Linked DNA regions of Zea mays. The protein of the gene in region 1 interacts with the protein of each later gene in a pairwise test. Links are inferred from orthologs where the notes say so. Each region holds a gene or a part of one and is shown in the gene's direction. Other genes may lie near its edges.

What was found.
Region 2: the proteins of 1-aminocyclopropane-1-carboxylate synthase 7-like (region 1) and 14-3-3-like protein interact in a protein complementation assay, tested with the Arabidopsis thaliana proteins (2 studies listed by BioGRID). The link is inferred for Zea mays from reciprocal best matches to the Arabidopsis thaliana genes ACS7 and GRF2.

What each region holds. Positions count from the first base shown.
Region 1 is NC_050098.1:6,385,304-6,388,785, forward strand, and holds 1-aminocyclopropane-1-carboxylate synthase 7-like, read left to right. Parts: upstream 1-1,172; 5' UTR 1,173-1,331; coding exon 1,332-1,673; intron 1,674-1,777; coding exon 1,778-1,938; intron 1,939-2,065; coding exon 2,066-2,951; 3' UTR 2,952-2,977; downstream 2,978-3,482. UniProt on the Arabidopsis thaliana protein: 1-aminocyclopropane-1-carboxylate synthase (ACS) enzymes catalyze the conversion of S-adenosyl-L-methionine (SAM) into 1-aminocyclopropane-1-carboxylate (ACC), a direct precursor of ethylene.
Region 2 is NC_050097.1:231,390,716-231,394,865, reverse strand, and holds the start of 14-3-3-like protein, read left to right. Parts: upstream 1-1,341; 5' UTR 1,342-1,426; coding exon 1,427-1,845; intron 1,846-1,953; exon of another isoform or gene 1,954-2,102; intron 2,103-2,710; coding exon 2,711-2,789; intron 2,790-2,882; coding exon 2,883-3,005; intron 3,006-3,504; coding exon of another isoform or gene 3,505-3,540; exon of another isoform or gene 3,541-3,634; intron 3,635-3,651; coding exon 3,652-3,768; intron 3,769-3,850; coding exon 3,851-3,913; 3' UTR 3,914-4,150. UniProt on the Arabidopsis thaliana protein: Is associated with a DNA binding complex that binds to the G box, a well-characterized cis-acting DNA regulatory element found in plant genes.

The sequences.
Region 1 (3,482 bases):
GGCATATCTTAATGCCCCCCGACGACGGCGTCTCGAAAAGGAAGCGCCATGTATATCTTTATTTCTATGGAGGGAGAGAGAGAGATAGACAAGCCGTCCGTAGTTAGAGGGCTCATATCATATCATTCGTCGCTCTTGTTCAGTCGCTGGCCTCTCGAGGTCAAACAAACACGTATGTAGACTACTAGCTGCTGCTGCTGCTTAATTGTCGTGATCAACCCTAATTAAACGCTGGGGCAAGTCCACGATCATCTCTGTCACACCAACCACTCCACGCATGCATTACTCTAATCCATCTCCATATCCCCATGGTCCAGGCAGCAGATCGAACAGGAGTTGCAAGAAGGCTCAGCATGCATATGGCAACGGAGACAAGCCAGCGCGAGATGTTTAGCTAGCTTTCAGTCGACGATCAATTCCCCGGAAGAGATGCGATGCGATGCGAGCCTGTTCAGCTGGCTCGTCCCTTGGCAGGCTGACATGCCGTGCCGTGCCGTGCCGTGAAACGAACGAACGAAGCCGGCAAATATTCCCCTGGGGGATCTCGCTGGCGCCGAACCACCAGCAACGCCATCGTCGTCGTCGGCCATGAGCTCCCTCCAATCGCGTCGCGGGGGGGGGGACTAATAAACAAACAGATCAACAGAGCGGGTGGCTACTGGCTACGGGGATAATGAGGCGAGGCGCCCATCTGTCCGCACGATCGCAGGAGGCGCCCTCCATGCCATTTGCCTGCCTACTCCCCCCAGCCGGCGAAAGGCGACAGAGCGGGGGCTGCTCTCGCTGCCGCGGGGAAACAGCTGGACTCCGCCGTGCATATTCCGTATCCGCGGCATGATCGTCGTCAGCGCCTCCCTCCTTTCTGCCCCGCCCATTGCTCAGCCTCAATCATTGGCTCCGGCTGGGAACGACGAATCAGCAAATTAAGGCTTTGCGTAGGTTGAGCGCACTCGCGCTTATAGTAGACTAAAGCTCCCGGCTTTCCCTTTATTGTTACTATTATTATATCGTTTGATTTGCAGCGGACAGTCTGGTCGTTTCCGTCTGCTCTGGACCCTGCCTTCAATTCTCCGCCTTTTGACATCTTGGGTGGTTTCACACGGGTATATATACTTGACTCGCCTATATATGCCACCCCCCACACACTTGGCCAGATCGACCACCGCATCACACAGCAGCAGCCTCTTGTGCTCCTCTCTGTCCTTTGCTTGCTCATCCCTCGACCTCGAGCGGCGGCGGCGGTCACTGCACTGCGTGTGCGTATCCATCCATCTTGCAGGCATCGTCGTCTGCACCGCGCGCTTGTGCGTGAGCCAAGGGCGGCAGAGGCGATGGGTGGCAAGCTGTTGCTGGGCGCGAGCCAGAGCCGCCACGCGCACGCGGTGGCGTCGCCTCCCCTGTCAAAGGTGGCCACTTCCGGCCTCCACGGCGAGGACTCGCCCTACTTCGCCGGGTGGAAAGCCTACGACGAGAACCCCTACGACGCCGTCTCCAACCCCGGCGGCGTCATTCAGATGGGCCTCGCCGAGAACCAGGTGTCCTTCGACCTCCTCGAGGGGTACCTCAGGGACCACCCGGAGGCCGCGGGCTGGGGCGGCTCCGGCTCCGGCGTCGCCAGCTTCAGGGACAACGCGCTGTTCCAGGACTACCACGGCCTCAAGGCCTTCAGAAAGGTGCGTGGTGACCCCGAGCGCCTGCTCTGCTCGTCTTGTTCGGTGTCCTGGATAGACCCTGCCTGGACAAGTGCAACGTACTGACGGCGTCATTTTGCTTGCAGGCGATGGCCAACTTCATGGAGAAGGTTAGGGGCGGCAAGGCCCGGTTTGACCCCGACCGCATCGTGCTCACCGCCGGCGCCACGGCAGCTAACGAGCTGCTCACGTTCGTCCTGGCCAACCCGGGAGACGCGCTGCTGATCCCTACTCCTTACTATCCTGGGTAAGCGGAGCGCTAAGAAGCATCCAGCATGCTGCATGCATGCACGGACCCCCGGCGCTATGCTACTGTTACACCGCAACAGTGCTCTACACAGACAGACAGACAAACTGACATGCTCTGCTTGCAGTTTCGACAGAGACCTGCGGTGGAGGACGGGGGTGAACATCGTGCCGGTGCACTGCGACAGCGCCAACGGGTTCCAGGTCACGGCCGCCGCGCTCCAGGCGGCGTACGAGGAGGCCGAGGCAGCGGGGACGCGCGTCCGCGCCGTCCTGCTCACCAACCCGTCCAACCCGCTGGGCACCACCGTGACGCGGCCGGCCCTCGAGGACGTGCTCGACTTCGTGGCCCGCAACAACATCCACCTCATCTCCGACGAGATATACTCCGGCTCGGTCTTCGCGGCGCCGGACCTGGTCAGCGTGGCGGAGCTGGTCGAGTCCCGCGGCGACCCCGGCGTCGCGGAGCGCGTCCACATCGTGTACAGCCTGTCCAAGGACCTGGGCCTCCCGGGGTTCCGCGTCGGCGTCGTGTACTCGTACAACGACGCCGTGGTCACCGCGGCGCGCCGCATGTCCAGCTTCACGCTCGTGTCGTCGCAGACGCAGAAGACGCTCGCCGCCATGCTCTCGGACGCCGGGTTCGCGGACGCCTACGTCCGCACCAACCGCCAGCGCCTCCGGGCGCGGCACGACCACGTCGTCGCCGGGCTGGCCCGCGCGGGCGTGCCGTGCCTCCGCGGCAACGCCGGGCTGTTCGTGTGGATGGACATGAGGCGGCTGCTCGGCGAGGCCACCACCGTCGCCGGCGAGCTCCGCCTGTGGGACCGGATGCTGCGGGAGGCGAAGCTCAACATCTCGCCGGGCTCGTCGTGCCATTGCTCGGAGCCTGGCTGGTTCAGGGTGTGCTTCGCCAACATGAGCCTGGACACGCTGGATGTTGCACTCGCTAGGATGAGCCGCTTCGTAGACACGTGGAACAAGGAAACGACAGCGTCGACGCAGCAGCACTAGCAGCAGCAGCAGCATACGAAGTAAATTTTTTGGAGGGTAAATTACGTCATTGGACAGATTAAATCACAGAGTAGTTATACAGGGGGATTCTTTTATGGTTTTTCGATTGATGGTAACATCGATTTTGTAACAATAACTATCGCCTCTCAGATGGAGGAGGGACACATATATGTATGTATTTATAAAAATTCTTACTTTGGCCCAAGCAAAAGCGTCTCCGCTACACATTCAGTATTATTGTTTTGCTTCGTTTTTCCCTCCTGAGTTGTGGCAAACAAACACAGATGACGTATGTTTGCTCATTCATTCATATATTTATATCTGCCTGGAAGCGAACCTAAATTAGCAACAAGAGAGAACATGTCCATTCCGAGTACTGAGAATAAGTGCAGCAGAATGAATGCTGGTTGTTGGATTTAAATTAGATGGATGTTGTTTGTCGTCAGAAAATGGAGAGAGAGAAATCAGTTAGCGAATCCCTTTCTCGTTTTATACTGCTGGTTTTCTATACTTTTGAAGAAAAAAAACTGT
Region 2 (4,150 bases), on another chromosome or scaffold:
ACGTAGGTGTGTCTAGTGTCGTCATATGCCATGTCATGTGACCACTCCGAGCCCACATGCTCCATGCGCTATATACCCGAACCCCTAACCCACACACGCCCGTGAAACCGCGAGGGCCGGCTCTGATACCACTTGTAACACCCTGTCTAATCTCTGGACCAGCGGTACTTACTCCTAACAGCTCTCTATGATCATATATCGTCCCCAGAGATCAACACGAGTCTTTTGTGCGCACTTTAATTTGTCCTCACTCATGCGCATCCAAGAAAACTTCCCGATCGGTCAGCCATCCCAAATTGCTTCAAGTCAAGCACGCCTAACTTGGAGGTTCTTTCGAGATAGGCTTCCGAAAAAGAAGATGCACCTTGTTTGTATGAGTACTCTATTAATTCTATTAAGCCTTGGTCTAGGATATTACCATCCCAGGGGCCAGGATATCACAGTAGCGTGACAACAGTCGGCATATGCTACATAGTTGGTGGTGGTGTTGTGTCTCCTCGATGGGTCTAGGGTTGGGAAGGCACTCGCATTCTCTCGCCCTTCTCAGACTAATGCCGGGTGTGGGTGCCTCTTGGTTTGGAGTTGCTCCGGCTGGGCTTCTCTCTTCGTTTGCGTGCTCTCTCCCTATATGTATCTAGCGGTATACTACATATCTCGTCTCCAGATGCTTAGATCTTCATCGTGTCTTTCTTCGGCAACGAACATGCCTTCTCTTCGTGCTCTACAAAACCTTGAAAGTGGGGGAGACGAGGGATGGGATCCCTGATTTACTGCCTATAGTATCGGTTCGAGAAGTCAAACCAACTCTTAATTTAAAAATAAGCTGTATATTTATAGATCTTCACAGTACATCAGCATTCTCAACGTAAAATACAAACACCGGAAACAATATCTACACTACGTACATCGTTAGACTACAGATGTATATGAGATTATATTTTAAAATTATTCTGTTCTAATTTAAATGGCAGAAGCATGGGGGAAGCTTCACCTCCCATCACATCCTCAGATTGTGACCGCTCAAGCCTCTCCGCCTCACGTTCCCCGCCCACACCTCGTTCACGCAGCAAACACCATTTCCACCCAACCAGAACTCCTCACGTGTTCCACCGTCCATCCGCCTCCCAGCCATAACGCCGACCACACATACTCCCTCCCGCACCGAACTCCCCGGCGCGCGCCACGTTCCTTTGGTCGCCACGTCATCCCACTGACATGCGGGCCCCGCACCCGCTGCCCAGGGTTCGCGTCCTCCTCAAATGCCCCCACCCGGCCACCCATCGCCTCCCCCACCTCCGCACAAACTCGTCGCTTCCGCTCCACAGGATCCTCTGCGCCACCCACAACCGTGCGACCGTCCGTGCTGCCGGCGACCCCGATCCGCCGACCCGTCCCGTCCCACCACACCCTACCGCCGCTCGCAGCTATGTCGCCGTCGGAGCCGACGCGGGAGGAGAGCGTGTACATGGCCAAGCTGGCAGAGCAGGCGGAGCGGTACGAGGAGATGGTCGAGTTCATGGAGCGCGTCGCGCGCTCCGCCGGCGGCGCCGGCGGAGGGGAGGAGCTATCCGTGGAGGAGCGCAACCTGCTGTCCGTCGCCTACAAGAACGTCATCGGCGCCCGCAGGGCCTCGTGGCGGATCATCTCCTCCATCGAGCAGAAGGAGGAGGGCCGCGGGAACGAGGCGCACGCCGCCTCCATCCGCGCCTACCGCTCCAAGATCGAGACCGAGCTCGCCCGCATCTGCGATGGCATCCTCGCCCTGCTCGACTCCCACCTCGTCCCATCCGCCGGCGGCGCCGAGTCCAAGGTCTTCTACCTCAAGATGAAGGGTGACTACCACAGGTATACCATTATCGCTAGCAGATCTCGCTTTTTATTCTGCGTATCCGCATGTAGAGTCTAGACTATGCGATCTATTTATGGAGTGGCGAAGGAGGGAGGAGTCCATACCATGGGAATTGTGTTTTGGAGAAGTTAACTTGAGATCTGTGCGTAGATGTTTTGTATGGTAGCAGGGGCATGAGGCTCCCTGTAAAAACCTCCTCCAACCGTGTATACAGTGTGCGTAGTACTCAAAAGGTTTTCTATAAAAGGTCCCTGTATGTATAGGGAGAAGAATCTTCTCTATATAGGGGGAGTGATATGCTCTCCCGTGATATTATAATAATGTGTATTATGGTATTATAAATATTGTTTGCTTCTAATTCAAAGAAAAAAGATAAATAAATGTTAATCTGTAGTGTATAGAGGAAGCTGGATTGTAGTGTATAGGTGGAATGGTTGGAGACAAAACATAGTGGGAGAATAAGGGAGTTTAGTGTAGTAAAATATATTAAAAAATACAGATAAGGGGAGATGTATAGGGGAAATGGTTGGAGATGGCATGAGTTCTTATTATCAATTGTGTCTAAATTTAATGTGTGGTCTTTTTGTTTGAATTTTTTGTTATTTGTGGCCGAAAGTTCAAAAGATAAAAAGGGGAAAGGGGTTGTGTAGGCTGTGACGTTTTTTAGTGAGGTTGTTGTCCTTTTATTTATGTTGCACGTTGAAGTTGTTTATCTATGAATTTGCCTGTATGATGCACGATGCTGTGCTGTCTCCTGTAATGCATGGTTGAAAGATGTGAAATTGTTTCATGGTTTTTTTACCCCCTACCCTACAGCACGTATATCTTGTTATCTGATTTCTCCACATGATGATTTGGCAGGTACCTTGCTGAGTTCAAGTCTGGTGCAGAGAGGAAGGATGCTGCGGAGAGCACCATGAATGCCTACAAAGCTGCTCAGGTTGGACCATGGTGTACATGTTGATAGGATGAAGGTGTACATATCTTATTAATTGTGATTCATAGTTTCTGGGTTTTTTTGGGGGGTTTGTAGGACATTGCTCTTGCAGATCTGGCTCCAACCCACCCCATCAGGCTTGGCCTCGCTCTCAACTTCTCAGTGTTCTACTACGAGATCCTGAACTCCCCTGATCGCGCCTGCAACCTTGCAAAACAGGTTTGCTTCTTCTCCTTCTATCCCCCCTTTGTGACTTGCTTTCATTTTGAGACCCTTTGTGATTTGTTTTAATTTTGAGACATGATGTCTCCTAGATTGTGTGTAGCTTCTGGGCAACGGATTGAGTGTGCATAAACAGCTCCTGTCTCCATCAGCTTATGTAGGGGTTTGGTTGATTCAATTAAAAAAAGATGGTGCAAAGGAAATAGTTCACTTGCCTCCGTCTGCATGCCTATTCACTGAAACAATTTTTTCTTACATTAGGCACTGTGTAAGTGATGGATCTAATTACTCTGGGTGCTAACAAAATGCTTCTTTTGCTACCACCCACGGAGGCTGTTGTTTATTTTCACTCAATCTGTCACGTCTTCTTGCATACATGTTCTACTACATATTGAACATTGACAAGCTACAACCTAATGATTACAAGTCACCTAGAGAATTCTCAATTTCCCTTGTATGATGGTTGCACTGTCTAACTTGTCTGCAATCCATGAAGTTGGACATGACGGTCTTCATACAGTACTTGAGATGACAGATGCATTCCCTATGCAACGAAGTACTCTTGACGTTCCCCATCAATTTAAGCATCTTGGGCTTTATATTGGATGCAGTTGGCTTGAAGTAAATTTAATCTTTGTTGCAGGCCTTCGATGAGGCGATCTCTGAGCTAGACAGCCTGGGAGAGGAGTCCTACAAGGACAGCACTCTGATCATGCAGCTCCTGCGCGACAACTTGACCCTATGGACTTCCGACACCAACGTGAGTTCCTTCTCGGCCCCCTCTGCGTATCACTTGCCATGGCTCTCATCTGACGACCATTGTTCTGCGTTTTCCTCGCCAGGAGGATGGCGGCGACGAGATCAAGGATGCTGCTGCCCCGAAAGAATCCGCGGAGGGTCAGTAAGATGGATTCAGTCTCACGACCTGCTGCTGCTGATGTTGAGGAGTGACCAGAACCAGAACCGCCGTCCTCGATTCTGATAGATTATCTTCTAGTATACCTTGTGTTGTTGCTGTTGTTGTCGTCGTCGCGCCGGTGTATGCGATGAAGCTGCCATTGCTGCTGTTTTAATTAAGCATTCTAGATGTTATACCGCATGCTTTGTTTCGGTTTCTATGTCGATAAATGGTGGCCGGATGC